Linked DNA regions of Arabidopsis thaliana. The protein of the gene in region 1 interacts with the protein of each later gene in a pairwise test. Each region holds a gene or a part of one and is shown on either strand. Other genes may lie near its edges. The genes, in order: AT5G58990 and ESC.

Evidence for each region.
Region 2: the proteins of AT5G58990 (region 1) and ESC interact in a two-hybrid assay, tested with the Arabidopsis thaliana proteins (one large-scale study listed by BioGRID).

Annotation. Positions count from the first base shown.
Region 1 is NC_003076.8:23,808,182-23,824,908, forward strand, and holds AT5G58990 (28S ribosomal S34 protein), read left to right. Parts: upstream 1-6,581; 5' UTR 6,582-6,846; coding exon 6,847-7,128; intron 7,129-7,267; coding exon 7,268-7,310; intron 7,311-7,516; coding exon 7,517-7,638; 3' UTR 7,639-8,009; downstream 8,010-16,727. Other genes in the region: GIL1 (glucose-6-phosphate isomerase, putative (DUF641)), read left to right, coding at 1-179; UCP2 (uncoupling protein 2), read right to left, coding at 461-499, 610-696, 781-855, 1,358-1,462, 1,565-1,663, 1,752-1,885, 1,983-2,061, 2,169-2,387 and 1 more; AT5G58980 (Neutral/alkaline non-lysosomal ceramidase), read right to left, coding at 3,268-3,822, 3,910-4,070, 4,161-4,224, 4,315-4,440, 4,518-4,788, 4,932-5,196, 5,279-5,377, 5,463-5,603 and 1 more; AT5G59000 (RING/FYVE/PHD zinc finger superfamily protein), read left to right, coding at 10,587-11,059, 11,615-11,837; BSK5 (kinase with tetratricopeptide repeat domain-containing protein), read right to left, coding at 12,397-12,645, 12,734-12,847, 12,954-13,118, 13,212-13,400, 13,519-13,604, 13,711-13,816, 13,944-14,077, 14,282-14,417 and 2 more.
Region 2 is NC_003070.9:7,258,957-7,275,585, forward strand, and holds ESC (Putative AT-hook DNA-binding family protein), read left to right. Parts: upstream 1-13,599; 5' UTR 13,600-14,067; coding exon 14,068-15,003; 3' UTR 15,004-15,116; downstream 15,117-16,629. Other genes in the region: AT1G20870 (HSP20-like chaperones superfamily protein), read right to left, coding at 331-575, 673-1,819; AT1G20875 (uncharacterized protein), read left to right, coding at 2,525-2,725; AT1G20880 (RNA-binding (RRM/RBD/RNP motifs) family protein), read right to left, coding at 3,923-4,225, 4,329-4,371, 4,915-5,041, 5,184-5,328, 5,672-5,878; AT1G20890 (caveolin-1 protein), read right to left, coding at 7,132-7,274, 7,386-7,476, 7,557-7,688, 7,781-7,919, 8,016-8,104.

The DNA.
Region 1 (16,727 bases):
AAGCAAACAGAGGAGCCGAGTTTCACTCTCAGTACATGGAGAGTGTCGTGAGGTTTTCGGATGGCCGTGTTCCTGCGGGTCAAGTTGTTGGATTTCCTGTTTGTCCAGGATTCAAGCTTAGCCATCAAGGGAAAGGATCAATCATCAAATCCAGAGTTTACTTGGTTCCAAGGGCTTAAAAAGGTTTCTTTGAGTTCACTGTTTCTTAGGAATACATTATGTCCTCGTGTGTTGTTTAAGACTTTAAGACAATCTAGCTTCGGAAAAATCTTGAAATAAAGAGACCGTTCGTATAAACTGTTCTTGCAAAGAATTTTTTTTTGGATAAAATGTTTCTATACTAATCTAAATAACAAAGCTCACATAACATAGAAAGTATATATGTTTTAATTCTAACAATTCAAAGTTTTATAGAAGGGATTATGTAATAAGGTATGGTTTTCGACTAGGGATCTGAGAATCAATCGTACAAGACTTCTCTTAGAAACACTTTTTTCACCTGTCACAGAGTGAAGATGAAACAGAGAGAAAAATGTTAAAAAAAGAAGAGCAATCCAAAATTAATCATCATCGAAAAGTAAATGAGAATGAGAGAAGAATCTAATTTACTTGTTCTAATGTGAGGAACATAATGGCATTCCAGGTTCCTAGCCGTGTAAAATTCGGGAGAAATCCTTTGTAGAATGCCATAATCCCCTTTAAATAGACCAAAAACAGAACATTCATGATTGCATCAAAAGAGAGAGATTGGTTAAATGTGAACTAGAAAAGAATACTAACCTCGGTCTTCATCGTTTTGATGAAGCAATCGACTGTGTTTCGGTAAGTAGAGTCTCCCATCATTCTAGATTTCACCTGGAACAACATATAAAGAAGAACCATGGCCGTTTAGGGCAAATACCAAAGTATCAACCATTTTGTTTCCTTCGGTAACAGGTTAATACTAATTTCTCCTTCCGTAGAGCATTACTATCTAATAATGCTGCATTTACCAAAGTCAAATCACCAAGCAAGAGGTCAGAAACATAAAATGTGGAAGACACAAACATGTGAGACGCTACACCGATGTCACTTTCAAAGTAGAGCTATGTCCATTCTAATACCTTGTCCTTTAAAGAGATATTCTGTGATAAATACCTACTCTTTGCCACAAACCAATAAATAGAACTCAGTCAGTACTAAGTCTCTTTTGTTCGTTCTCAAAAAGAACAATGATTTAGGCACTTAGCACTTTCGTTTTCAGATCTATCACTTCTCACTGAAATTTATTGTAGATATACGCACTACCACACATGATGAGACGAAAACCAAATAATCTTGTTGTTGATTTATGTAAAAGACGAAAATGAATGCTTACCACATCAATTGGAGAACCGATGCAGACAGCGAAGAAGCCTGCAGCTAAACCAGCTAGTAGATGAGTTAAAACACTGTCTCTGAAGAACGGAATTTTCATAATTGTCTGCATATGTATGGAAGTATAAGAACAAACAAAGACTAAACAACCACCAGTAGAAGCCAAAAAAACTCCTACACAACAAAATACTTGAGAAAGAAATATCACCTCCTTTATTTGATCATAACTAGCTAACTCTGCAGCATTTACAATAGCATTCCGGGCAATATTGGGACCAAGTCCAGTCCATAGCGCACTAACTCCTTCCTATTTTATAAATCAAAAGGCTATAACACTCTGCTAACAAAGTATTTTAATATTTTTGATATTGTTATTTGAAGATTAGTTTACTAACCAGCTTCACAATGGTGAAATAAGCGTCTACAGCTCCTGCATAACGCCTAGGAACCCCAGCCGGTAACTTTCCTTCTGATTGAAGCCGAACTTTAACAAGATCAGTTGGATTAGCTACAATAATAGCTATAGCTCCTGTTGTGTCACACACAATAAAATAATTCCCTTTATAATCTCAATCATTCACTCAAGTTACTTCCAAGAGACTATCAAAATTAAGAACTGAGCTCACCAGTTAACAAAGCTGCAAGAATCTTTTGATATAAAGGAATATCGCCAATAAAGTCACTTCCAACCAAAAGTGTCTTCACCTATTCAGATATAGCAAAATAAACAATCCATCAGATATAACTTTATAAGAGAGTATAAAACACACACAAAAAAAAGCACCAGAGAAGGAAAATAATGTGAGACTCACAGGCTCATATAACCCAATCCTTAAGCCACCATAGATACATTGGCGATGAAGTCCTGCAATAACACCTTTCCAAAGACCTGAAATACCTTCTTCTCTAGCTATGGTAGCTAGAGTACCAATTGATCCTCTATACTTGGGCAAATTCTCACCATCTCCAGTGGGAATCTTTCTTTGAAGCTGAAGTCTAACTTTGGCTGTGTCCAACGGTATAGTACATAACTACAACATCACTCATAAACCATGAATTAGAATTTGACTAAAGACTAATACAACAAACACATAACACACGAAAACTCAAATTTCGTAAACACTAAATCTATAGAGTCTATGTAAGCTCATTTCAATAAGTATCACAAAAAATCACAAGTAATGGACTTTAAAGTCGTAGACTAGACCATCATAGATTAGCTTCTAAAGCTCAATTTCGAAGATTCAGTAGAATAACGGTAAATCTAAGATAGCATTTCTCTGGATTGTTCACCAGTGACAGTGATTGATCGAATTTAAGAATATTGACAGACTCAAATGAAAAATGAACAAAAACCCAAAAGAGGAATAATAATCTCATCTCGCACTAAAGAGAGATACCTCAGCAAAACAAGCAGCGAAAGCGCTGCAAATGAAGGTTTCAAGGAACGAAATCTCGATCCTTGGTTTGAAATCCGCCATTGTTATGCTATAGGAACAAGATAAGCGAAATCTGGAGAAGCACCGATTAGGCAAAATGCAAAAACAAAAAAAGGCTAAAATTTGAGAAGTTGCTCCAGTTTCTCTCTAACAGCGATGATGATTGATGTAATCTTAAAATGGGTTTCTCAATGATTATAGTTTTTAGGAGTAGTAATGAAGAAAAGTGAGATCGAGATTTAATAATGGCGTAACGAATTCAGAACAAGTACAGAGTCTCTCTCAATCTTTTGTGTGTTACTATTTTCACTATAAAAGTTTCTCTCTGTTTTTGTTGTAACTAAACACGTCATTAGATAGACCCTCTTCCTCCACTGGAAGGTTATGTACACAAACTGTTTTTCGCACACACAAGGTTATTTACTGGATGGTGTTGCTAGGGATACGTATAAAGACTATTCACGTGTACATTTCAATATACAACAAAGGCACTAGATGAACCAGAGAAATGGTGAATGGAGCTTATAGGAGTTTTAGCTGAACCAAAGTGAGTGATTCTATAAACACCAGGTGATGCGGTTTCAGGGATTCTCCATTCGATAGTTGCTGTGCTCTGCGTGCTGAGTTTAAACGGTCTTGACCACTTAAACCGGAGGCAAAAGTCATCATCATCATAAACAGGTACCCATGTCTCTCTTCCTTCGAGCCACCTCTCAACAAGCGCGAAAGTTCCTTCCGTCATCAGATCGTTTCTCGGGTTAGCTGACCGGAATTGAACCCTCACTATGTCAGCTCCCTTCCTGAATTTGGATAACCGAGGAACATCCGATGTAACATCTCCGAATGCAGTTCCAATTGGTGTCATATCCGCAACAACAGGTGTTAGTAAGCTTATTTGCTTGTGAAGTAAGTCAGGTGGTTGGGGACCCGGGTCAGTGGTTTGAGCAGATAGAAGATCATTTGCTAGTTTCTTGAATTCTTGAATGTATCCGCTTAGCGTGTGAGGTCCATACAAAGTCGATGCACCCTGAGGGAAAGAATAAACAGAGTTGGTTTAAGAGCAGGAAATCAAGAAAGATCCTACAAGCTCTTCCTTCTTATCTAAGCCTCTGACCTCATATCTCTGAACTTGGTATTCCTCAAATGTGGCAATATACTGCGAATACGAATTGGTTAGCCCGGCTATTACCACGCTGAATTCTCTTCCATTGCTGCCTTCTTTAAGCACTGTTTTCACGGCATCACGTAGTCGCCTCCCTGCCATTGTTGTGAATTCTTGCAAGCAGAACAATAGAGAAAGGAAATTACTAATGTTCTACATCAGTTTAGAAATGATTTTTTTTGTTCTGGGGGAGACCGGAATACCTCCGGGGACGCAGAGAATCACTAGCTGGCCAATGCGGAGGATCTGAACTGGTAATATCGACGGCTGAAAATGGATTAAGAAACAGTTTTTCCATCACAAATAGCTAAGTGGGATTCAATTTTTATCCATCACAGTACAAGATTATGCTCTCACCGCCCAGTCGTATGGTTGTTTCATTTCACCGGTATCAAGCAATATGGGTTTAGGTCGTTGGCATCGTACTTGTTCCTCAGTTGGATTCTTGAGAAGGTTCCTTACAAGCCTCCAGAAAGGATTTCCCTTACACAAAGTCACAACATAAAGTATAGTACTAAACATCTTTCATTACCAAGTTAGAAGGAGAATTTGGGTTTTACCTGATCATCTCCTTGTTTAAAGTCAAATGCTCCAGGTCCATCAGTTGTTCCTGCAGCGAAACCAAAACCCATTGCAGCTGGACATGTTTTCACCACTTCGGAACCTCCATTTTGTCCATTAATCGTCACTTCAAGCTGAGAGAAATCAACATATGCATGACGATAGTCAACTTTTCCTTGTATCTCCTCAGAGGCTTTAGTGAAAAGATCCGCAGCCTTCTTGAACTGCCTCTCTCCAATAATGCGGGTACTCTCAAATTCATCAGGGTAGCTGAAACATTTAGTCATGCCAAGTTATACATCTAACAAGCTTGACTCTCTAAATACCATATTGTACTAAGAGAGAACATAATTTTCTGTGATTGGTTTCCGCATTGCTGAAAGTAAAAGTGTGCAGTTAGGAATAAGACGTACCCTGGTCCACGGCCGTAGCATTGCTCATTCTTTCCACCACAAGTACTTTGGTTGAATTCACAAGGAAGGCCTGTGTCTATACAGAAGGCTCCCAACACATTCGGACTAACATCACCGCAGTTAGTTTGACAGAAGGCAGAGACAAATCTAGGTTTGTCAGCGTGTCTAAATCTACTTCTGACCCGTCTAGCAACGCTTGACATCCTTGTAACGGTTTTACCGCCGGTAGACAGTAACGAGGATGCCATTTCCATCAAATCTTGATCTGCAATAAAAGCAACAAAAAGTTAGTTTTACAATAACAAGCCATTACTAAAACTCTTGGAGCTATGGTTATTTACGCTCACCATAAGGATCACTGATTATGCTTGAGACTCTTCTAGGAGATTCAACATCAACTGATCTACAACCGTTTTCTCGTTCAAACCAGTCTTCCATGATACGTGCTGCAGTGCCTTTATTGTCCCCGCTGATTCAAGGCATTTGTACGGCTCATCGAAGTGCCATGAGTTGCAAACCAATTGAAACTACCCACTGGACCCCATTGATCATCAACGAATTTGACAAGTGTCATCTCTTTATCTACATCATATTCATATTTACTACGTTCATGTGCCGGATTGTTAAGGTAAGCACTGGGACTACGGTTCACACCAGCATCCAAGAGCTCCCCTGCAAGCTCAGCTCCAAAAGAAATGTCTTTAGAGAAAGCAACATATAAAATGAATCATAAAAAAAGTGTCCCACAAGCTAAATCACTCACCTTTGTTGATTAAAATGGACCCGGGACGAAGATTTTCATGAGCTTGTATAATACTTTGCTCTATACCGTCCACAAGAGCATTGAAAGATTGATGAACAAACCCGAGAGATGTAACTAAGTACAAAATGTATTGGAGATAACCCCCTGGACCAGCATGAGTATGAGTTCCACTAATTGCAACATTTTCCTCCGTATAAAGCTCACCGTACCTCTGTTTCAATCTTTCAATCACTTTGATGGTCACAAGCTGTGAGGCCATACCAGCATCAAGATTAACAAAAGCAATCCTTTTCTTGTATGGCTCAGCCACGATGAACGCACGAGCTCTGAGCCTGAAGTGAACACCAGATGCTACTTGTTCCATGTTAGCATAACCCATCATGTTAACATCAGCTGCAGGTCCTGTGATGTCATAGCTTCCAAGACCCATCAAATAATCGGAATCTGAGAATATACAAGTGAGCCTCAACAGAAATAGCAAGAACAATGTGCAGTGCATAGACATAGACCACCTCGTCATCTTCACACTCAATATGGAGTAATCAACTCTTTCTCATTTCTAGTCCTTCCTAGAGAATAATACAAACGTAAGCAACATAAACAAACACACATATTTCATGAATCTAAAATTATTAAACCCAAAATATTATCCAACCTGAAGAAGAAGTAACGCAATCCTTAATGATTTTAGCTGATGAACACACTAACCATTTGCTGGAGCTGATAGAAACTAATTGATGTGAACGATGTGAAGCAAAACAAAAGAAGATGAGAGAAACTCAAATAGACAAATACTCAATAAAGTTTCGTTTTTTTTTCTGGTAACAACGATAATAGTATGTAAGTAAGAGTAAAGTGTGAGGAAAGTTCTTATTTTTAAGGTTGCGGAGAAAGAAAGCTACCCAATTTCAGCTGTTTTAGCGTATCTGTCCTTCTCAATTCGGTTTTCACTTCTTATTCGATTTCTAATTTTCAAAGTTTGGATTTTTGGGGTAAAGTTAGTTAAAATGCATACATAACGGGGGTAGAATGTAATTTATAAAATTGTATTGGGTCTGTTTGTGAATAAACCAAAACTTGTGGTTCTTCTCTGTCTCAACCTCAGTCGCCGATCTTCAACAGTGGCTGAAACAATAGAGAGAGAGCGATACAATGGCGATGACACTTATGAACAGAGCAATCTCTAGAACCGAAACTGTTGGTGCTTTCAGTCTCTCGCTTAGTCTCTTAAGAAATTTCTCTGCGGCGCCGTCGGCGGCATCTACTCCGGCGAGTGAAAACCCTAGCTCCGATTCGAATAAACCTAAACGAAGAAAGAAGAAAAACTTAATCGAAGTCGCTCAGTTCTTACCTAATTGGGGAATCGGATACCATATGGCTAAAGCTCACTGGAATGGAATCTCTTATGAAATCACTAAGATCAATCTCTATAAGGTTCTTCGTCTTCTTCTCTTTCATGTCTGGATTGAAAAGTTTCCATTTTTCGTAAGCTGAGATAATGTTTTTATTACCTAATCATTTGGGGTTTGATTATCTGACTTGGGTATTTGTTTGATTTTGGATTCAAATGCAGGATGGTAGACATGGAAAAGCTTGGGGAATTGTTCACAAAGATGGTGACTTTTTTTGTCATCATTTGCTTCGTATTGCTAAGTTTTTACGCCCATTGATGTCAAAGTTGGAGCTTTTTGTCATGTCTATGGAGTATAGGGTGAAATTATTAGGAGTAGCCATATCTGAAACTAGATAATCACCATTGCATTGGTGTTAAGGTTTATGCAGCTTTCATGAGAGTAACGTACATACATGGTCTCAAATGCAGGATTGCGAGCTGCGGAAGCTCCAAAGAAGATAAGCGGAGTTCACAAACGTTGTTGGAAGTATATCCCAAACCTGTCAAAGACTACTCCTGCAACAACCACTGCTGATGTTCAAGCTGCCTGATCTGTTTACTTCCATTGTTGTGGGTACTTCTTGATCTATCTGTTTGCGGTTTCTTTTTATTGGGAAGAAGATACAGTTGTTGTGACTTGATAGTTTCTTTGAATTCGTCGATAGCTTTGTAGGAAATGATCCATAATCTACGGATGATGACCGAGTATTCGTTTTTCTTGTTAAGACTTTACACTTCTTGAGTTATGATTTTGATGAGCCAGCATCCCTAAGCCTAGTGTTTAGCTACTATAAAGTTTGAACTTGTTTTGTAGGAGATCTGCTGGTTTTAAACATGTAATAAATGACCTCAACTACGATTGGCAGGTTTTAGTTTCTATCAAAATCCCAAATTTTCAATATTGAAAAGTCTCCTCTTCAGCACAGCATCTTTATTTCTTTGTTCAAATAATACATCTTTTGCAGTAAAAATCAACTTGAATACTTCTCCTGATATTGTATAGTGCCTGTTTATCGAATCATCAATGTTATGCAATGGAAGATAGTCTTGTTGGACCAGTTTTACATTTCTTCCAACCGTAGCGTAAAAATCTTGTTTGTATCCCTTTTTCCACAGACTCCAAAACCATCGTTTAGATTCACCTTTAATGAAAGCAGTTTTTGGTTGAACCAATCTTAGTCAAGTAACAGGAATCCGCATATGAACCAATCTAATATGATATATATATACAAGTCCGTGCTTTAATGGATATCTTCATGTAAGCAAAGATCTTCAAATTACCAAGTACATGAGATGGGTTTTATTCAATAACTTTGAGGTTAACAGAGAACCAATTTTAGAATCTTTTTCTTTCTTTCAGGACTCAGTTCAGTAGACTGTTTTGATTTGTAAAAAAAAGAAAGAAAACAGACTCTCTTGAATTTGACCAATCAATCTCCATTATTCTTTGGTTTAGAAGGGCCCTATTCTTTCAAATCCATGAAGCCCATCCCTCTTTAACTTTATATTTTGGCCCTGTTTATGCTTATCCAAGGAATTTTCTGTTTCCCTTCTGTCAATTTGTCAATCAATATACGGCTATCAATTTTTTGGTAGCGAGAAACAATTTGATCGAATAATATATGAATTGTCTTGAAAGTGTGGAAATATGATACATCGAATACATTCAAAAAACAACAGGTCTCAGTTAAAGAAGGTTGCTGTTTTATAGACCAAAATGACATTATAAGCTACACACTTTTGACCCAAAAAAAGAAAAACAAAAGCTACACTGTTCCTTGATAACCAAACAAAAAATGATTTAAGAAAATTATGAAATTAGCAAAAACTTTTTATATGTTTTGTCAACAATCATGTTAATGTTTATACATAGGACCGAAAATAAAATAAATGTATTGTTAATGTAGCTGTAACTATATGGTAACTATATTGGACCCTATTTTAGAAGGTGTATATACATTTTTATATTATTACTACTTTTATACAAATACAGTAAGTAGTATAATCTAGTAAACTCAAATATGAAAGGAGAATTTCAAAGAGCTTGTTGGTGAAATAAACAGACTACAGTTTTTTTTTTGTCATAAACAGACTACAGTATTTTATTTTATTTTGTCAAACAAACAGACTACAGTATTTATAATCGAAAAAATAGGTACATTGATACTGTTAAGTTACTCAGCTTATATATGTAGATACAAAAGAAAACCATATGTAACTTCAAATTTAATAGAAAACAATTAAGAAAAAAACTACTACTGTTCTTAAGTACTGTTTAAAAATGAAAATAGCATTTCAAATTTGGGGTTCTTTTATTTGTTTTCTTTGGAACAATAATTATTAAAGAAACGGTGAGTTTCCTTCCAGCCAACATTGTTACATCCTGACACAGCCACTGACATTGACAGTGATTTTTATGTTTAGTTTCATCAATACCCTTAAACTTCTATACATTTTCATTTTGACACCTCATGTTTATATACTTTTCAACAAAACCCAACACTATTGATATATATGTTCACTGAATCACTGTTCAGAGTTCACACCAACCCACTTTTCAAAATCAGTTTAAGCTGACTTCATTAGGATATATTATCTTGTATAAATAATTAATATCTAAACACTCCAGGTAATGTACTAAGTGTAGAATGAAACTTTATAGAAGCAAATCTAATTTGTAGAAACAAAGTACTTTGTTTTTTCACGGTATGAGTAAAGTACTAAAAAATTTAGTTGTTAGGAAAAATAAAATCTAACTTATTAAAGAAATCAAGAAAAGTACTAAAATAAACGCTTTTTCGTCCTATTAATGTTATAACTTAAGCAACGTGGGTACACTTCATTAGTTCATTTTCACTAAATCTATAACTTCTTTTTCTTCAATTTTTGTTCTTAATTAATAATTAAAATGTTAGGAACTGTAATTAAATTGTGATAGTAAATAGATTAGCTTAAGGGACTTCAATAAGAAATATTTTTAATTAATACAGTATGAAATACAAAAAAAAAGTACAATCGATATATATATATATATATGAAAAATTAAGTGGAAATTCAATGTAGTAGAATCATGAGTTAAGAATCCGTACCACGGGATCTAACAATGTTAAAAAGCACCCACCTTGTTTTGAAATATCTTCCAAACTTGAGGGAGACAAAAAAAAAAAAAAAACAAGTAAAAACATTTGTCTTAAAAAAAAGAAGAAAAAAAGAAGAAGAAGATAATAATAAATAAAAAAGAACAGAACAGAAGCTGCTCTTTTGTCCAAAGCTTCTTCCTTTCTCTTTCTCCAACATTTCTTCTCTGCAAGTTAAAAACTTACTAAAATAAAAAATTCAATAAACCCTTGAAGACAAAATTAGCTTTTTTGTTTTTTTTTTATTTTAATTCTTTTTTGGTTATTTTTTTTTATGATTTTGTTTTTTGTTTTCCTCGTAAAACCCATGAGTGACCCCTTTGGTTCCTCTTTGCTTTAATCTTCAAGAAAGAAAGAAAAAAATGCCTTCTTTTGCTTTTGGATCTCATCACCATTTGGCGAATCCTACAGACTCGCCGCCGTACTCCGTCGAAATTAGCATCGACGGTGACTCCTCCGACTGGGATTCTTTGTCTCAGGTCGATTTAGAGTCCGGCGGTGTACCGGCGCCGGAGAAACAGCTACATTCCGGTGGTAAGAAGAGGAGAACTAGGAGGAGAAAGAGGAGGAAGAAGAAGAAGAAGAAGAAAGGTGGAAGAGATTGCAGGATCTGTCATCTTCCTTTAGAGACTAACAAAGAAGCTGAAGATGAAGATGAAGAAGAAGAAGATGATTCTGATGATGATGAAGATGAAGAAGATGAAGAAGAAGAAGAAGAAGAAGAAGAAGAAGAATATTATGGTTTGCCTTTGCAATTAGGTTGCTCTTGTAAAGGTGATTTGGGTGTTGCTCATAGTAAGTGTGCTGAGACTTGGTTTAAGATCAAAGGAAACATGTAAGTTTCTCTTCAAGACTACTTTTGTTTTTTTTCTGCAAAATTCTACAGATTCTGTGAGAACCAAAGTAGTAAAGAATGAAACTTTATAAGGAAAAAATGTATTTCCTTTTTATGTACTTTGAGTCTTTTTTCTTGTCTGAATTCTAGAGATCCATATCATTACTTCTTAGAAAGATTGTCTGCTGAAGCTGGAATCTACAGTTTTTGTTTTGTGGCCATCAATTGTTGTCTACTTGTGTCTCATGTTCTTATGTTCCTGCACATTTTTGGATATTTATTGTTTGTAGTCTCAATTAAAGCCAGTTTCTGTGATTTGCCTCAAAACATTCAGTTTCAAAGGCTTGATTTTGCAGCTGCATTGAGAGAATCTTGCAGTCCCTTTTGCTGAGAAAGTTTGATTTTTACCAATCAAGATTGTACTCATAGCTCTGTTTAGCTTCTGTTTCTGTGTCTTTGCATTTTCCTAGCTTCTTATATGTTTACAAGATGAAGCAAGTCCCCTAAGATTTTTACTGACTAGCATTTATCATATTGTTGTATGAATCTGAGCAGGACATGTGAGATATGCGGCGCAATGGCTCTAAACGTGGCTGGTGAACAATCTAATCCGGAGAGCACTGCTTCTACACATTCACAAGCAGCTGCGGGACAATCTCTAACTCAGACAGAGCCACGAGGAATCTGGCATGGTCGCCCTGTTATGAACTTCTTACTTGCTGCTATGGTCTTCGCCTTCGTTGTTTCTTGGCTTTTTCACTTCAAAGTCCTCAAGTGAAACGTTTTCCATCTCTCTCTCTCTCTCTCTCTCTCTTTCGCCCACCCGCACGAGCTCACTCTTCTCCTGTTCTTGAGCCGCTTGCAATCGCTGAATCAATCCCTCCTGTTGCTTGATTATTCACACGTTTTGTAGCTGTAAAAACTTGGTAGTGTTTAGATTGTTGTAACTTGTGAGATTTACATTTTGTATAATATTGTTCTCTGCTCCGGCTTCGTGAAATCTCTGTGTGGTCAGGAGGGTCTTAGCTCTTTTGGTTTCAGACACATGGCTTTGAAAACTGGTAATAGATAAAATACTGGACAATAGTTGTGTAGAATCTGTTTTTGTACTTCAAATGAAGAAAATTAGTTTGAACAAATCTCATATAAGGATCTTGGACTTAAATGAGAAAGATCCTTCTTTTCTTGATTCAAATGTGATTTGAATCATCTCTTCAAATTGGAAACCACAAATTTAAGATAATGCTTAAAGAAGACAGAGACAATGAGGCTTTCTCAGAATCCAATCACAAAACGAAGAAGGCGGAAGAGAGAAGAAACCTATACACTTGAAGTTTTCAGTTTCTGTTGTTATGTTTCTTGGCTTCCAAGGAAGTTCCATCTTTTAGGGTTTCACAGGCGTCTTTATCCATTCCAAGGCTGAAGAGAGCAGCGGCCTGAAGATAGAAAGCCGTTGGCCATTCAGGAGACACTACTTGCGCCTGCATTGCATCACCAAGAGCCTCTTGAGGCATATTGCTCATCAGATAACACAAACACCTCCTTGCAAAAACTGTTGGCGATACCATTGTGCCATCTTCGATGAACTGCAGATACAATAAGACGGATTGAGTCGAGTTCCAGGGGAATTATGTTTCTGGGTTTCAAGAAAGTAACCCACTTTCTGTTTCTTACCTGCGTGTAACATTCAACAGCAGTGACAAAGTCTTTGCCTTTGAACGCAGCATCTCCTTGTTTCTTGGAGTTTAGAGTCTCCTGAATCTGGTCGGTCCACACTTGGAACGAGAGCTGTGTTGCAAATAAAACAGGAACCTCAGGTAAGACTAAAGAAGCTCTAGACTTGAAGGTCATTGACCTCATAGAAGATGAAGAAGCTTCTTGTTCATGTACATACCTCATTTGCTACACCCTCGTCATCTTTGTATCCAACCTTTTCGAGAATTTCATGTATTGCTGTGAGATCATGTCGTGAACAAGCGTCACCAAGAGGGGTAAGCGAAGTTGTTTCCTTTGGAGAAGCAGCTCCATGTGGAATCCCCATTAAAACATGAGACGGAATCTGAAGAAAACAACAGAGATGTAGAATAAGACGAGGAGCTAGAATACTTGAATGGTTGATACATGAAAGGAAGGTGATTTAGTGAGTGCATACATCAGTTTCTTTCTGAAGAGGAGCGAGTGAGGACACGAGAGATTTCACATTTGGCCTTTCACGAGCTTCATACTGCAAACAACGGGAAGCTAAACGAACCAAATCGGTTCCATCATCGTTTGAGAAATGGCCATCTAGACACGAGTCCATCAGCATCAGGAAATTCTTCCCACGAATCAGATCAAGCGCCTGCAGAACAATGGTAGAGCATACAGAACTTTATCAACATTTTCTGGGATAAGGAGAAGAAGCTAAAAGATCAAGAACTTCCTCCCAAGAGAAGTTGAGCCATGTTTGGTGCACTTACATGGCTTGGTGGTATGTGTTTGCCGCTGAGAAGATCTAGCAACAGCGTTCCGAAGCTGTAGACCACACTCTCCGGAATCACTCTCCCTTAAGAGATTAATAAACGCACATCCATATATCAGATCAATATCATAACTTTGTCAAACAGCAAACACATAACTTGACGCCATTGCATCTCAAATCAGTAACTGACCTGTTCTTAGGTATTCAGGAGGTGTGAAAGCCAAATTTGTACTGTAACTCTTCCCATCCCTACTATTCTTCATAAGACCAAAGCAAGATAATCTCGGGTTACCATCCTGTAATCAAGTTTTCCAGAAAAACATTATAAGAATCCCAGAACAGTAACTTATACGAAAAGTGAAACATAAATCCAATCAAGAGCAAGAAAGAGATAAGAGAGTTAATAGTAAGCTCGAGATGGACCTGGTCAAACAAGATCCTGTAAGCATTAAGATCGTGGTACAAGGCGCGACCTTTGCTGCTACAATACTCAAGTGCTTGTGCAAGATACAAAGCCACTCTCAACCTCATAGACCACTTCATTGGCTGACTATCCCCTACATATCATCACAAATTATTAAGTTCCACCAATCATTTGCATTTAAAGTGTTAATCTTTTGTTCAACAAGATAGAACCAAAAACAGAAATTACCAACAAAATCTCCTAAACAATGTGTTAGAACTAAAAACTAAAAGGCGTAGAGAATCAAACCAAAAAAGTAAACAGTTGCCAATCTCTTAAAGATGATGAGAAGCCTTACAGTGAAAGAGATGCTTCGAGAGAGTTTCAAAAGGCATAAACTCAGCAACGAGCAATCTCTCGTCTCCTTCACAACAGAATCCAATCAAATTCGCCAACCTCTCATTCCTCAACTGCCCCACAGCTTTTGCTTCTTCCTAAAGATCAATCAAACCAAACAGTAAACACCACCAAATGCAACAGGGGTTTTAAATTGAACTGTACGAGAACCCATCAACGGAAATGAGTAAAGGAATCAAATTTATGAGAGTTCGTACAAGAAATTGACGAGTATCAGGCCAAGCGGATCTATTGAATCGTTTAACAGCGATCCATCGGTCATCTTCAAGTCTGCCTTTATACACAACATTAGGAGCTTTAACACCATGTTCGGAGACAATACTGTCTGTAGAGAATCCACAAGTAGCAGCTCGTAGTTGGTCGAAACTAAACTCCGTAAACGACGGCAAATCGTCCGTTCCGTTATCTATCAGAACAAAAAACAAAAAACTCAAACTTTGTTAGCAGAGAGAGTGTGAAAGGTAGAGACTTTAAGTGAAGAAGAAGTTGTTATCACCTAGATCAGAAGCTTCGTTGTGAGTTGATTTGAGATGGGTCGGCCACCAACAGAGAGAGAGCTTAGAGCAACGAGGTCCCATTTTGGGGTTTTGAAAGATTTAAGGAAGATTGAAAGATTTTTCTTAGCTAAACCCGAAAAGCAAAAACCCTTTTTTTTTTCTGGTGAGTCACTTTCTAAAGAGAAGCCAAGAGAGAAAGAGAAAAAAAAAGAAGTTTTTTTTGTTCTCGAGGAGAAAGGAATCTGCGGAAAAAAATGAAAGGAGAAAAATTTATATATAGCGCACGTAGTGGGGAAGACACAGACACAGTCACAGTGGTGAATCATTGAAAAACGTTAAACTTCTTTCTTCAACAATAATAAGTGTTTTTACTTGTTGTGGATCCAATGTTTCTCTTTCTCTCTCGCTTTTTCACTTTGTTTTTTTTTTTCATTAAATATCTAACGTTTATACATTCTGATAACGTTAAAACAGTATTTTTGTTCAATTAGTAGTACATTCAAATCTCACTTTCCAAATGACCAAAACTATATAGATAATAATTACAAAATTAATATGTATATTTTAACAATATTTTTTTCTTATTTACGATGGACACTTCTAACTTCTGTAGTATTTAGAAGAACAATAAACCATACAATTATGTACGATATCATATCCGCAATCGGTTAAGAAAACATTTTGGAAAGCTTGCAAAATCAGTTGTATGAAAATTTTAAGAATGTTTTAGAATGGTGTAGGAATGTTTATAATTTTTATTTTTTAATTGGTCTTTTTGAAAGATAACAGAAAAATAGTGTTTTAGAGTAACTTTAAAATAACACCAAATAGACAACCTTGACTAACTCTGAAACATCCGGTTAAGATATGAAAGGTAAAAATAAAATAATAATGCGAAATTACTACATTAGGGGTAAAATCGTAAACTGAGTGGTCAAAGGGTCAAAGCTATGTGTGCATGCGTGTGGGTGTGAATATTAAAAACAAAGTGGCAGTGGTAGTAATAGTTTAGGAGAAGTTGCATTTAGTGTTCTCTCCATTTAATCTAATCTAGTTTTTCTTTGTTAAAGCATATCTAATCTAGTTTTTCTTCACATATTTAACTCATATTGCCAAAAGATTTTGCCTAAACTACAGATATTATTCAACAAAGCGATAACTTTGATTTGATAAAAGACTGTTATACAGTTTCACTTTTTTATGTACTTTATATTATATGAGCATTTGAAGTTTTGAACCCATAAGCGAAGAACTTTCCAGCTAAAATGACGCAGACCGGTGACCCAATATAGCGAAAGAGGTCCATGAAGCATTTTATATGCGAGTCAAAAGCTTTTGCGGAGTATCATATACGTATTACACCGCAAAGCTCATAAAGTTAAAATCTTTACGAAGCTTTCTCTATGATATATCGAACCAACTTTTGATTTGTTTAAATAATTATTTATTTATAAGAACAGTTATTAATGTTGGTTGGTGGAGACAAAGAGGATCTTGGTGATAAATATGGTAAAGAAAGTAGTAATAGAAGATGACTTCACGCGTGTGCCAAGGAGAAGTTTGTTGTCCTTTGGGGGACACATTTTAGCCTAATTTAAGATGCTCTTAAGTGACCAAGCCAGGACCACTACAACTGTAAATAATGGAAGATAGTAATCATATTCTTCTAGACAATGGAGCGTTATTTTGAAGGTTGCATGTTTTTAAAACTCCCTTCGACTCTTGGCTCAAGAAAATGTTCATGCCAATAACGAAATTTTGGCAACCGATATTAAATATACGCAATAAAACTAATAGTTAGCAATCATAAGCTTTGAAACAAAATCTTTCAATAAGCAAATTGCTCTATATCTTTTATTTCTTATGATGGAAAGATGAATCCTTAGTTTT
Region 2 (16,629 bases), on another chromosome or scaffold:
TTGAATTTTTCTAGCCAAATTAAACCGTCGGTTCAGTACTGTTTTAGTTTCGGTTTGATCACTTATTGAGAAATGAGAACAGTAACTACTAACAAGTAACAGCAACACTGCCAACACAGAAACAATATTAACGGATTCTCAGTTTGATGAAATCATTGTGAAAACGGATATTTAGCAAAATCATGCAAAATCTACAGAGTCACGTCCTAAAAGTAAAAGATTTATCCTTGCATGCTGTTTGATTCGCTTTCCTTCTATGTCCAGTAACATAAAGATAAAAGATCTACATAGATCCTAAGTTCTAAACTTGTATAGGAACCTCCGGTTTAATTAAGAGTTTTTGTGTCGGATGATGACTCCCTCGAAGATACCATCTGATCGGAAGTTAGGAGAGAATAGCCGCGGATCAACTGGTCCCGGGAGGTTAAAGCACAGCTTGAATGGTCCAGGCGGACACAGCTTCCGGATATTCATCTCGAACACCCGAGAATGTCTCTTGATATTTTTTTCGCCTCTTGTAGTTGATCCCTCCAGTATAACCTTTCCATCTGATTCAATCTCACAGCTGAATTCACCTGCACACAAAAGGACCAAACCAATTCATGTGTTAGCACTTAGACCCGATGTGGCGTGTATGGAAGTAGTTAGATGTGCAACAAAGTGTAATAATACCGTAATCTTTGCGGACACCGGGCAAAGCAACCTGAAAAAAGTAAGCAACCTTGTTGACACCAATGTCAACAACACCAACAGATGATCCTAGAGTTTCTTTACTGGCTGTTCCAGTAGTTACAACCGACGGTTCTGCATCGCTTTCCTTCATCTCCGAAGAAAAAGGTATAGGCTTATCTGTTTTTTCTCTTTCCATAAGAGTTTCACCATTCTTGTTTGTTGCCTTTTTTGATGAGTTCTTGAACCGTCTTCTCTTGTATGTCTCACGAAATCTTTCAGGGGTTTTACTCGTTCCACTAACAGCATGACCAGTAACTGCTTCTTCTTCCTTGTTCTTTCGCTTGCATGTTTCTGGAAGCTTTACAAATGAATAGTAGTCTTGGTCAGAGACAATTCCACTGAATGCAGATTCTCCGTTTCTTGAACAGTCCTGCTTCATTCCCTGGCTTTCTGGTATGTCTCCCGAAAGTCTTTCTGGTTCACTGATTACGCAACTAGCAACCGCGTCTTCCCCTTCCTTTCTCTTGCACGTTTCTTGAAGCTCACCAGATGAATTGTAGTCCTCGTTAGTGACAACTCCATTAGCTGTCGCATCACCATTTCTTGAACAGTCCTGCTCAGTTTCCCGGCTTTCATCCAGATTAACCCGAGGAGATAAAGACGTGACTCTATCGATTTTCAGGTCGTCCAAACGCGACAAGCATCTGAACCTTTGGAGTTCTTCCTTGTTTATGAACCCTACTGCAGGATCATCAATAACAACAATTCCTTTCACAATCTCGTGGCTCGGGGAATACCTTTTCTGCGGGTGAAGATTCGTCGGGAAAAAATGCGTGAACTGAGGAAACTTTCCACTTGGTTCCAATGGTAGATATCCCTTGAGATACATATAAATCATGTCTGGATGAAGAAGGAGGCTGGACTTGGCGTTTCTGAGTACATTATAGTACAAGTTCTGTAGCTGGGAAACAGTTAGAGAGGAAGATCCAATGTGCATCAAAGTGTAAGGTGGCAAACCTCTAGCTAATCTTTGAGAAGATGAACATCTTGGGTTATCAGAATAGACATCAGGACCCAAGTAGTTGCTCATGATGAAATTAACCAAGAAATACTGATCACTCGATAATCCGTCGCTATACAGACTCATATCTTCGATATCAATGAACCTGCATTACATATGAAAGTGGCAACATTGTCACAAATGGAAGCAATAAGGACATTCCAAAAACATAGTTACAGGACATAATTAAGTGTCTCAAATTTGCCAATTTAGTCATAGCATTGAAAATCTCCATCATTTTAGTCCCTAGATCTCTTAAGTTTAACCCTTTTCTAACAATGACTTTAGTCTCCATAATGTTTTGCCTTATCATTACTAAGGAGAAAACATCTTCAAATTAAACCCTAAAAACTTCACTTATTAACAGCAAAATCTACATTTGAAAAGACTATGTTGATATTTTGAGAAAGATTAGTAACTCTGCTTCATATATACTCTTCACAATACAAAAAAAAAAAAAAAACCAATTTTTACCCAGAAAATATCGCAATCCAACAATTTTTCACTAGTTAGCTCAAAGTCAACAATTTTCCTTAAATCTAAAGGTTACTACGCTTGAATACGAACCAGTTTGTACTTTTTACAGCAAAAATCGATCCCACATTGTTCCCACCACAGAAGATAAATAGGGATTATGCAATTTCAACCTTACAAGTCCAGCGATTGTGAAAATTCAAGCAACATTCATGGAGAAAAAACGAGAAGAAATTCGAAGCTTAAGCATGACAGAAAATTCTCAGTGGCAGATTTTACCTTTTTTAATTTCGTCGTGATGTTTTTGGGTTGAGGAGGATGATGGAGGTGAAGAGAAGAGAGATTTCTCTGCGAGAAAGAAATGTTTGGTGTAAGGAGAAAAATGCAAAAGAGGATGGGGGTCCTTTGCTTGCTACACGTGGCTACCACGTGGGTCCCGCAAATAACCGCATTTGGAGGTATCACTTGTCACCTGGCTCACCACGTGCCGTCTTGTTGAAGCACTTTTGGGCCTTTTAAAAAGTATAAGGCCCAAATGTTTTGTATGTCTTATTCTCATTGATAAAGCTTATTCTTTTAAACGAGAGGAAGTTGTAGGAAAATGGGAACATTAATCTTGTTTGTGCTGACTAAACTATCTCTAAATCAGTTTTCTCGGACATCAAAACATCATTACTATGCCACTACCTCATTATGTAATCCTTTTAATTATGTGTTGATCAATTTTTACTTTGATGGATCAAAGAAGGAAACGTAATTACATCCACCCCCAAAAATTGGACTCTTTAAAAATGGTTTAAATGACGATGAATTTAACTAAAAACTCGAATCTATCATCTTGAAAGCAAGTGGTAAACGAAGTGATAAATGGAGTATAAACAGAGGAATCAGAGTAGAAGATAGGAGTCATAGACAGAAACAATTGAGAAGAACAATTTATCAGTCTAGAAACTGTACAGACATAGAAAAGAGAAGAATCCTGGAGCTAAAATTTATGCACAGACAAAGAAGCTGAAGTGAGCTCCATAGTCATTAATTTTTTACTTACAATGCAGAGGACTTGACTCAAGAGGACGTGAGAATCTACCTAGTAATATTACCAACACTCATATGCCTTAAGAGAGTGTGTAGTAAGAAGACTACTTTTACCACCCAAAAGAATCAGATGTTGATTCCACCATTCTATATGCATTTATGTATGTGTTTATATATATATGAACTTTCTTTGTACACCAAACTTATTCCTACCAGTTTACCGCGAAAACCCTTGTTTCCGGGGTGAAACTATTCATATAGTTTATGCCATCAAGCTTGTTGTGGGCTATATACATAGGATGAGAGGGTTAAAGATAACAGAAGCACAAACCCTGAAACTTCCATTCTCCTTTCCCCCTTTTTTGACTTCTTCAGTGAGCAAGACTACTTAATACCTGTAACGACGGTAATGAGGTGAGATCGAAAACATTTGCAAGTACTGAAACTTAAAAGGGCACCTAAGGAAACAAGCTTACCTCTAGAATGCGAAAATAAATAATGTGCTAAGCTTAAACAGGAAGCCTGCCAGAGTAGCATTTGTCCTGGACTTCTTCCCTTTTCTGCAATCTTTAAGGATTACTAACTGAAAACCGATAAATAACAATGAGGTCGTGTAAGTGTGTACGAACTTCAATCCAATTTGGACCATCAAAAAAGAATCCAAGAATTTGCTTACGTTGATCACCCTGTTGTCTGATCAGAACCGCTACTCTGTATATACTGAGGAGGAGTCTGGACGATGACACGTTGGTGCGTTGGAGCTGAAGGAGAAGGGTATGGAGATTGAATAGCAGACATAGGTGAAGTGGCACCAAGCTGTAGAACATGACTTCCTGGATGTGAATAACCTTGACCCGCTGTATAACCGTGAGCACCAGGAATAGTATGGCTCAGTTGCCCATATTGATAACCCGGTGAGTTAACTGCCCCAGGTACTCCATAAACCTGAAGGTACTGTTGACCCATGTAAGGACCATAGAAACCCTACAACACCATGAAGAGAAGACATGAGTTTATAACTAAAGCCACAACAGTTTAAAATGCATAAAGAAGGTAAGAAGGAACTGCAATAATTTCAAGCGCCTACCTGAGACTGTGAGTACATGTAGTCAGGTCCATATGGTGTAACCCTGAGAGAACCCCAAAAAGCACAGCTAATATTAGAGACAGGTGAGTAAAGTTTTGGCTAAACACTCTTTAAGAAAAGAAGAGTAACACTTATACAAAACAGCTAGAATATGTTATGCTACGAAAGAAAGATGCTAAGCTAGGGGGGAAAAACCTAAGTCCACTCCAAAATGTCCATTCCAAAAATCTAGGTAATTTTGCCCTATCAAAGTCCAAAAACATTCATGACCTTGCCTGTCCAAAACAAATTGAGCTCGGCCACATATCCTCTGCAATTATATTTTTGTATTCCTGCAAGTTACCAATCACAACATGTCACATGATAGTGCTACACTCAAGAACCCTAAGTGGCAGAAGATACAACCCCTAACGCAATAGAATCTCTAGATGATTGTCCATGATGTGATTGGTAAATGCCACTTGATCAAAGTGACTGAAGGACTAGCATGTAGAACATTAGAACTGATACACTCATCAAAGCTTGTCTGTTATAGCAGATTTACAATAGCAACGAAATGTTCTGAGCTTCAAATTGCATAACTCACCCATAAGGGTACACCACTCCTTGTTGGTAGTTATAAGTAGGGGGTTGGTGATACGGATGGCTTCCAAAATGCAAACCGCGAGGACTCTGCACACTTCCAACATATGGGGAAGGAGGTCTTACCCGTCCTAACCAAATAAAAGAAGCAATGCAGTGATTCAAGGTTAACACGGTCATAATCCTTGAAAAATTGAATACTTCACCAAAATTATAAAGGTCTCTGTATGTAATGCGAAGAAAAGAATAGATGAATACTGAAGTAAGACTGACCAGGAGCATGGGGTATCACTGCATATTGCATTGGAGGCCTAGATCTCCCAAGAGAAGCGAGATTACAATTCGCTCGTCTGCCATCTATAATAGGTGTTGGATCGACACAGGCTCTCCTAGCAGCCTCTGGATCTCGGAAAGTCACCTAAATCCTCCATACAAATCATAAACATAGCGGTAAGTCATTCTACAATCATGAACATAAACCAACAGATACATCAGAACAAACAAATGAAAGAGACTCCTCTAATTAGCAAAGATAGACAAAAGTTTCATCAAAACACGTATTTTCGAATTCAACTTCTTTGAGTTTATTCAAAGAACTAGAAATCATAAGTCAAGCAGATCATTCACCAATCTAAAGCAACATTTAGTACCCAATAATCTATAAGCATACCATGGAAGCAGAGAATGTTTATTACAAGCAGTATAATAAACCAACTTCAGATATTAGAAACCAAAGCATGAACAAAAAGTAGGATACTCACAAAGCCATAACCTTTGGATCGACCAGTGTTCTTATCAGTAATAACGACAGCCTCAAGGATATCACCATATTGATCGAAATGCCGACGAAGAGTCTCGCTTTGAGTCTCCCAGGCAAGGCCACCAACAAAGACTTTAGTAAAGGTTGTGTCACCAAAAGGAGAATTCAAGTAATGAAACCCAGAGCTCGGAATCGAATGATACGCCATGGATTAGAACCAAAGACGGAAACTTTGATGAAGTATGGATAGAGACAGATCCTAAGACTTGACCCGGTAAACCCTAGAGATAGATTGAATGATTAAACCTGAAGATGAAGAAACAGAACATATAAATTTGAAAAGAGGAGATTCTAGGGTTTACAAGGGCCTTCGAAGAGAAGAGGGTGAGAAACAGAAAAAGTGAGATCGGCCCCAAAGAAACCTAATAAAGGATCATACTTGACAAGTAATGATCATGACGAGAGAAACAAAAAATAGAGAGAGAGAGAGAAAATTTCCCGGGAAAAAAACAGAAAAATGAAAAGAAGTTAGGGGAAAAGGGGTTTAAAACTTTGAAAGATGTGCCACGGAAGAAGAGAAGACTCGGTTCCGGTAGGTACACAAGAATGATTCTAGGGTTGCTCAATTGGTAGAACAACAGAAAACGAGAGAGACGAATTCGAATCAAGCGTTGGGGAAAATGGGGAGGAGAGAAAGAGGGATGATTTTGAGTGGTTTTAGGGATTTAGATAGAAAAATACAAGGGGACAAGGAAGGATTTGTTTATGGAAGTTTTAACATTCATGATGATGGTGAAGAAGTTGGTGATGACGAAGACGATGATGCGTGATTATGATTCATAAATTCTTCGAGAGAGAGAGAAAACAAAAGGAGTTGTTCTTCACCCTGGGTCCCACTCGAAATCATCTAGTAATTATGATTAACGCTGTAATTAATTAGAACACAAATTGTGGTTTTGTCCGAATCCTAGTTTGGTTCTTTTATTATCACAGTTGGTTGGAGTTATTTTAGCGGATTACTGCCGGGAAATTAACGGTTATTTCATACATTATATGAACAAAAAAAAATTCATTTATTTATTAAAAATATGTGTAACCTCTTTGCTTTTAATTAATTACTCCCTATTCCCAAAAGATAATACGGTGTACTTTAGAGTTATTCATCTTGTGGAATGTTGTTTGTTGGATTGAAATTCAAACGGATAAGCGTTACTTAACTATATACGATCAAACCATACAAGTTCAGAATAGGACTTCCCGCGTCTGAAAAACATGAAATCAATCTAACACATGTAGACTTATATACTCTTCTTTGAGTGCGGTGTGGTAAGGTAAGGTATATGAATGAGGCAGTGGACATGTAAGAACTAAAAACCATACAAAATTAGATGAACAAACATCAAAATGCGAACAGAGTAACAAAACAAAGAGGTGAGGAAACTGTATTAACCATGCTTCTTCTTAACGATCACGATCTACATCTTTGATCAGAAGATAAGATGGGAGGAACCGGGGAAGAATCAACGCGACAACGAGACACAAAACTACTAAAACCACCACTGACCAGCTTGAGTGAGGGATGCCTAAGAGCTGTTCTTCACAAACTGTCAACATGAGAGTTTTCAGACTCTAGAAGAAGCACTACACTTAATACAAGTTCTTATGTTGTGAAAAGAAGAAGATTGATGAGATAGTAAGTAGAAAAAAAAGCTTGCCTATGTTGTAAATGATGGACGGTCTTTCTTTAACATTTGGTATAGCCACGATTCCTTCAGGTTCCACCGTCACCAAAACATACAATCCCTCCTAAATCAGAAACAAACTCCTAAACTTGTATTCGTTCTTCTTTCTAAGTTTTAGGAACTAACTGAAGAAGATGGCAATACCTTGTTATCAACTTCTTCAATACTTTCTGTTTTGAAGATCAACTTCTCAGTGTTTAGTAATCTCCTCATATGGTTAACCTTCAAACCCATTACACCGTTCTTCAGTAATTGCAGCGAAAATAGAGCCGGTATCTGTTATCATAACAAAAAAGGATGAGATTTTTAACAAGCACAAGAACCTTGGAAACATAAGAACATAGAACAAGATAACAAATTTGACATACAGAAGCTGGGTATGATATCTTGACTTCATACCAAGAGTTCGACTTAAGCCCTTGTAATTTGTAAACTCGAGATCCAGATTTCAATGGCAGTGTCTCTTTCCAAAGTTCCTTCCCAGCATATAAAGTTTTTCCACCAAACCTAAGAGAAACCTGATAACATCATTTCTACAGTACCAATAAAAGAATCCAAATTGATGAGTTTGGGGATAATGTGAGGTTTTTCAACAACACTTACAGTCTCTCATCGCTATAACAAGTCACAAAATTTATGAAGACGATAAGACAGATGAGCAAGTAGCATTCTTTATAGCGTAAATCGATCATCCTACGAGTTCTGTATCAATCCCTAAAGAAGAAAACGATTTTTGTCAATTTGATGAATCGGTTAAAGTATCAGCTTCATGTTAAGCAATCTCTGCAATATTTTCTCTCAGCAACGGAATACGAAAATACCAGAAGTTATAAAACGCGCGAAATCGAATTGACTTACCAGAGATCAGTCTCTCGCCGGAGATGACAGTTTCTATGCGACAATTGGATCGGCGAATACGATTCCGGCGACTTCGGAGAAAGACTCAAAATCGTTGTCGACGATCGCTAGCGTGAGACTTGGGCCTTTGATTAATAATGTACTGATATATTGATTGGGCTAATTTGAGGCCCAATTTAATATACTTGGCTTGTAGACAAAGTGAAAATATAAGCGGATCATGACCCGTCCACGTCACTCTTGCGAAAATCAGGACATAAACTGTACACGTGGTCAGATCTCCACGTCGAGATATCTACGTGGCGAGTTCTAAGGATATTTTGTCCTGTCTTTTTGTGGGGTCCATTTATGGGCCCAAAGGCCTTCGACACTAACTCAGAAAGTCCAAAATAGTAAGGTAAACATGTGGGCTCCTTTATAAACCAAATTGGCAATTTGCCCATGTTGCTTCCTTCCTACTAAATAGTTAAATTCTATTCAATATATCACCTTTATTTTTGGTTTTTAGATTATTATACGTCAATAAAATCACCTTTTAATGTTTACTATATACAAATTATAATATTTAATCCAACAATATTTTCTAACACCTTTTAGTTTGATAGGTTTTCTCCACAAATTGACTAGAAAAAAACAATAAATAGGCATTTAGTTTTGAAAAGACACTTGGTTTTGTTTTATTCTCCGGCTTTTTATTATTATAAAATAATTTAAAAATTGGTGGATGGGGTGGTGGTAGATCACAAGTCGCCAAAGATGTGAGAATGGGATTGGGCATTATCGAAAAAGTTGACCCGTAATTTCTGATTGATCACACTACTTTTGAGTTTGTTTATAAAAAAAAATATAGTGGAGAGTCTGGAGACCACTGATAATAAATTGATTTTTACTAGTTCCTGTAAAAACTTGTGACTTGTGAGCATCATTACGTAGGTAAAAAATATTATTATACACATATTATTTTTATAGTAACATAGGTATATTTGGGAAACCAAGGTCTCCAGGTTGATAGGAGCAATAAAATACTGGTTTCAATTCATACTATTAGAGTTGTCTATGTAGAATCAAATGTCAAGTCAAAGTCGTAAGAGTTATTTATAAATATATATACTATACCTTCATATATAGCTTAATAATATATAGAGAAATAGAAGAGATGGCCACAAAACGCTATGATTAAGGATATGACCATGTAATTATTGATCTGTAGAACAAATTTACAGTCCATTATATTGTTAGATAAATAGATTGATGAATACTTAGTTAGGTTCACGTATTTTATTTAGGTTTGAATCCAAATGATAACATAGTGATAATGTTATCACAAACCATTAATCATATCATGGTACTTAGATTCTCATATTTATTTTTCGAGTAATGTAGATTTATTATCATACGACATACAATACGCAATACTGTAGGTCAATGGAATCAAATCGTTTTTTTTAAGATATAAAAATAATTTATTTATTTTTTACCAAAACAAATGAGGCACAATTTTAAGATTTAATATAGAAAAAATAGAAAAGAATATCAGGGGCGTTTTCATCTATCCACTTTATCAGAAGATCATTGCCAAATATTTTAACTAAAGCAATTTAATTTACTCTAATAATGTGCAACTCATCGTTACGTATTTCTTCTTGTACAAAGCTAACATGCGGGGCATGTTAGATTCCGTGCGACAAACTAAAAAGTATGATTTGATTGATAATTTGATATAAAGAGCTCGATTAGACTTGTTGATTGTTTTCTTATCTAAGGATTTTATGCATCCATATATTCATTATCAACTATGAACTATCAATGAATAATATTTCCAAAGTATGATATTTAGTAAATTAAATTCTGAATTCCTGATAGAAGGGGGAAAGTCTTCACCCGATTGATGTTCGAGTTTTTGGAGAAAATATAATCAAACTTAGCTGAGTTAGAAACTCGTTATAATACATGTTCTTTACTTGGTTTAAAAAAAGCCACGAATTGATAAATCAATACTTTTTAACTAACGTACATAAAATTAATGAGAACTGAGAGTTCAAGACTAGCTAGATTTTTTTTTTCATTTTATATACAGCGAACTCATTGCTTACACTTTCAAAACTATAAAAACAAAATTTAAAGGTGCTGTAGAGAATAGAATCGCTATGTAAGTATAAACTTTAAGGATGGCATTAATATCTTATATACATCTGGCTCGTGGTATTTTGATTGATGAGAAAAGAAAGCAAAAAAAACAAAAGAACATAAATATAGAAGTTAAATTAGCATACTGATTGATGGGTACGGTATCCCTAAATCATCACAATTTTTTGCCCATATTATTTATTGTTAAAGAGGGTATGATATTTAGTCTCACGACCTTTACTTTTTGTTTGATGTTTTTTTTTCTAGATATAAAGAGCCAGCATTTTATTCACCAGTTGTTGGATTTCCCTAAAAGAGATACCCTTTCGTGATCGCATGAGAGCAGACTGGGGAGATACATATATGGAGTAGGGGCGTAGGCTGAAGAAGCAATAGCTAGCCACAATAAAAAGAAGAACAATAACAGCTACAAGATCATCAAGGGATCAATTATGAACCGAAACCAAATTGATATTCTTTAGTGCCTCCGAACCTCACATATCTACTGCATCCTTACGAGATATTTTGGTCGTTGGGAAAAAAAAAAAATATATATATGTTTTGATCAGTTTACGTGTTTGTCGGAACAATTTAGAACTGCTTTTATTCCATGTTTGGTAAATATATAAACTCTTATGGATACCAAGAACTTAACTTAGTTTTCTCTAATGAGTTCTCTAACATTGAATTCCACGCGACAGTAACTGGACGTCTGAATTCATTAATACATATATAATCTTTAATTAATGTGAGAGAAATGTGTTCATGATCTAGACGAGTAGCGACAGCGTCATAAGAACTTAGGTACAGTCACATATTTATAGACTTGGATGACGTGTAGTTCTCTCTCTTTATGGCTTAAAATTAAATTATATATCACATGAAACACCTCTCACTTTTCTGTTTTGGGGGCAAATAAAACATATCTCACTTATTTTCGAAGTATCTTGATAGTTCCACACATTCCGTTTTCGATCGATAGAAAAAAATTGGACCAGTTTATGATTAAAATACCGCACACAAAAGACTTCACGTACGTTTTTGCTTTTAAGCATTAGAAATACGGGCAAAAGACGCGAAAGTAAGTTAGATAGATTCGGGAGGAGTACTGTGATTGGATAAGGTATTGACCAAGTACCGATGATCCGACCGCCTCCACGTGGTCACACAGCTTGGCTTTCACTTTCATGCTCTGACCTTTTGACCGCACGTGACTTTTGTCTGTGCACGTGCGGACCAAGCTAACGTGTCCGGTTCAAGTACATTGCACCGAGCCCTGACTCGCCAGGTTACGCCGATGAAAACGACGGTTCCTGGGTCCCACATGCCATGAGGATGGACGGTTCCGATCCACTTCCTACTTTCCTACTGAGATTGGTCCCACCATGGTTCAGGCCACATGCGTCCACGTTGAGGGAGCTTAGGTGTTACTATATGGGTGCAGTTAAAAATTAAGACAACCAGTCACGGTCCGATATGAGGTCATGCATTAATGGGTCGGATCGAGTTTAGTCAGTTCAATAAATTAAGATGAATAAGTCAATAATTATTTGAATGGGTTGATGCAATTGGTAAGTGTTTTCAGGATTATCGTTTGTTTCCCAAACAATTTTTGTAAATTAAAAGTTTGATATCATTTGTATGAAGATGATATATCAAAAAAAAATTTTACTAATACATTACTCATTCTAAATCAATAAATTATCAGTGTCTAGTTGTCTTTTTCTGGTATATTTTTTTGTCCATGTTAGAAAAAGCGTAGTTCTAATTAGTGATTCACCAAATTCGACATAAGGCAACAAAGTGGAGTACTTATCAATAATTTTTGAAAATATAAAGTAGTAGTATCAACTAATTTGACATTTTGATAATTATCAGCTAGTCTTATCACATTAATGGATCATTAACTTTCTCCAAACTTATCATCAAAAAGGGTCCACTCCGTTTTACGATATTTAAAGGAGTATACATGGGTAGATCTCACTATCTCAGTATAGAACAAAGGACCATTACCTAGATTGATTGTTCTACGTTATGCGCCTTATGCCCTCTTGACAATAAAAGTGAATATAAAGTACTTTAGTAGAACATTGATTCTTTGATATATAATTAGCTCGGGTTTAGCAAGATAATTTAGTAGCAACCAAAAAAAAAAAAAAACACATCACAAGCAGAATTAATCAATTGTTGTTCTGCAGCGCTTAAAAGTGACTAATTCTCTTCTTCTTTTTCTATAGTAAAGATGGTTCGTATCCGTTTGTTTATTATAGAACGTGGGTTCTTCTTAGAATATTGTATTCGCAAGCCATATACTATATATCTATTTTAAATTATTATACATTATATTTTTACAAAATTAGTTGACAAAACTAATAATAATACTATACATGTAAATTTTTTTTCTTTTCTTCTTCTATATAACTCACGTTCTGCATCCAGTTTGAATATGAATAATAACATATATCAGCAGCACTATGCAAATCACAAGCCTACAAATATCTAGTAATAATGCAAGTTTATACTAAGTTTTACAATAAAAAGATGCGTAAGTAAATTAAAATTCTAAATAAAATGACCTATAGTAGTATTTTCTCAAGTAAGAGAAGACTAAATAGTACTATTTCTCATTTTTACTTATACGAAAACCTTTTAATTAAGTTACTAAAACCATAAATAAGTTAGTAACATGATAATAACATTTATCAAATAACTTTTGTTTAAACATAACCTCCACGCGCCTTAAAGGGAATGTAGGATTCGTTTTAATCCTTGTGTACCCAACTTCCACTTGACATTTTTTTTTTTTTTTTTTTTTTGTTAAATGATACGTTTTCTTTAGCTCGTATATAATAGTATCTGATAAACAAATTGACCAAATGTTATCTCTTCTGTTAATCTTATCTCATGCTTTCAAATATAAGAATTCCTTCTCTAAATTTCTTTTGTATTATCCGATTGGAGCCAAACAAAAACTGCGACGAACCCCTAGTTTTCTTTGGTAGATCTTATGTAAGGATAACCACTTACACACATAAATTTTTTTGTCGGCATTTGTGTATATGTAATAAATAGTATTAATTTACTTAAAAAAGAACATATTATTCAAATAATAATTATTATATTAATGATATAATAAAGGGGACTGTTTCTCCGCTAAATTCTCGGTGTATGTCTTTGCTTTTACTTTCCTCGTTCAATGAGAGGACCAAAAATTTATTGCAGAGTCGCACATGAATCTCAAGCTTCTCTCTCCTTTTTTTCCCATAGCACATCAGAATCGCTAAATACGACTCCTATGCAAAGAAGAAGCTACTTCTTTCTCTTGCCCTAATTAATCTACCTAACTAGGGTTTCCTCTTACCTTTCATGAGAGAGATCATTTAACATAAGTCACCTTTTTTATATCTTTTGCTTCGTCTTTAATTTAGTTCTGTTCTTGGTCTGTTTCTATATTTTGTCGGCTTGCGTAACCGATCACACCTTAATGCTTTAGCTATTGTTTCCTCAAAATCATGAGTTTTGACTTCTCGATCTGAGTTTTCTTTTTCTCTCTTTACGCTCTTCTTCACCTAGCTACCAATATATGAACGAGCAGGATCAAGAATCGAGAAATTGATTTGAGCTGGCGAATAAGCAGTGGTGGGATAGGGAATTAGTAGATGCGGCGGCGATGGAAGGCGGTTACGAGCAAGGCGGTGGAGCTTCTAGATACTTCCATAACCTCTTTAGACCGGAGATTCACCACCAACAGCTTCAACCGCAGGGCGGGATCAATCTTATCGACCAGCATCATCATCAGCACCAGCAACATCAACAACAACAACAACCGTCGGATGATTCAAGAGAATCTGACCATTCAAACAAAGATCATCATCAACAGGGTCGACCCGATTCAGACCCGAATACATCAAGCTCAGCACCGGGAAAACGTCCACGTGGACGTCCACCAGGATCTAAGAACAAAGCCAAGCCACCGATCATAGTAACTCGTGATAGCCCCAACGCGCTTAGATCTCACGTTCTTGAAGTATCTCCTGGAGCTGACATAGTTGAGAGTGTTTCCACGTACGCTAGGAGGAGAGGGAGAGGCGTCTCCGTTTTAGGAGGAAACGGCACCGTATCTAACGTCACTCTCCGTCAGCCAGTCACTCCTGGAAATGGCGGTGGTGTGTCCGGAGGAGGAGGAGTTGTGACTTTACATGGAAGGTTTGAGATTCTTTCGCTAACGGGGACTGTTTTGCCACCTCCTGCACCGCCTGGTGCCGGTGGTTTGTCTATATTTTTAGCCGGAGGGCAAGGTCAGGTGGTCGGAGGAAGCGTTGTGGCTCCCCTTATTGCATCAGCTCCGGTTATACTAATGGCGGCTTCGTTCTCAAATGCGGTTTTCGAGAGACTACCGATTGAGGAGGAGGAAGAAGAAGGTGGTGGTGGCGGAGGAGGAGGAGGAGGAGGGCCACCGCAGATGCAACAAGCTCCATCAGCATCTCCGCCGTCTGGAGTGACCGGTCAGGGACAGTTAGGAGGTAATGTGGGTGGTTATGGGTTTTCTGGTGATCCTCATTTGCTTGGATGGGGAGCTGGAACACCTTCAAGACCACCTTTTTAATTGAATTTTAATGTCCGGAAATTTATGTGTTTTTATCATCTTGTGGAGTCGTCTTTCCTTTGGGATATTTGGTGTTTAATGTTTAGTTGATATGCATATTTTGGTTTCTCGTGTTTATTTCTTTTCTTCTCATATCTTCGGTAGATGTTACATGTTAGAGAAATGCATGTGTCTCGTTATGTTAGAAAATTCCTTTCCATATATGGCTTTCTTTTATTCATAGCTAGGGTTTCGTGTTGTACCCTATAACTATTATTATAATTAGCTCGATTTGATAGATATATAGGTCTAGACTATTCAATAATGAGTTCGTTTGTTCTTTTAAGAATTTTGAGCTTCACGGCGTATTCTTGATGAAATATTATGTGGGCACATCTCAGGCGCTCATTTGAATATTTTTACAATACGTCAATACGTTACCTTAATCATAGTATAATATAGTTCTTTCAACTTTTTAACAACCTCAATGTAGTATTCATTATAAGGTTAGAAAATTATTATACATATTGATCAATATATACGTTTTGTGCATCTAAATTCATTATTCGTACCATTTGAGTACTTGTAGCGTCTTTTAGCCGAGTATACCTTTTAAGATCACAACTTCTGTGTCATATCTATCTATCTATACGGTGTTATTGTGTTAAGAGTACTGTCATATATACCCATCTATATATAAGGTGTTAAGAATATGCTTACATATTGATCAAAACGTGCATCGTTCTAAATTTTGTAGTTAACCACTTGCCTGATTAGAACGTCTTTTTAGCCGTTTGTACTTACAGTTGAAAATTCCATTGATTGGTGTAATTGGCTATTTAATTACGACAGGGCCGTCTAAGCGATCTCGAGTCTTACCATCTAGGAAAACAACATGGGCAATTTTTAAACTATTTAGCGTTCATACAGTTTCTAGTGTTTTAAAAATACTACATGTATACCTAGTGGCCATGTTATGACCTTTTTCATTCGATCACTACAGTTACTTAATTACATGCATAAAATATGCATTAATGCTTCAGTTAATTAACCGTCGATCCTGTAAAATAGTTGTATCCAACATTATTCAAAGACAGGTTGGCAACAAGTACGTAGCTTTAAGCTAATATTTATAGGTCACATATGCACAGTACCATTTATGTTATAATCGTAGTTTTTGGTTTGAGATTTCCAACCCCTTAATTTTGGCTGGTATGGAGAATTTGTCTCAACTCTCAACCAACACTTCAAATACATATTCTGCTCTTTCTCAATCTATATATATTTCTGTCCCAACAATTTAAATATATATATGGAATATGGTTTTATACCGGTTTATATATTACTATTTTCGTGTTTCTTCGTCACTACAAAATATGAGTTTTTATATATATATATATATATATTGATAAAAAGAACGAGTAAATGATATTGGGGATACTTGTCTAACTAGAGAGATAAAGAGTGAAATTCTATATTCTGCTAAAACTAATCATATTCGTTAAATAGAATGGAATCATTATCTAACATCCCACTGAAAAGTAAACAAATTCATTCATAGAAGAATATGCTTCTGCTATTATGCAAAATATATAACGAGGGGATTACTTTTATTTATTTCATATCTCATACTACATCTTTATTATT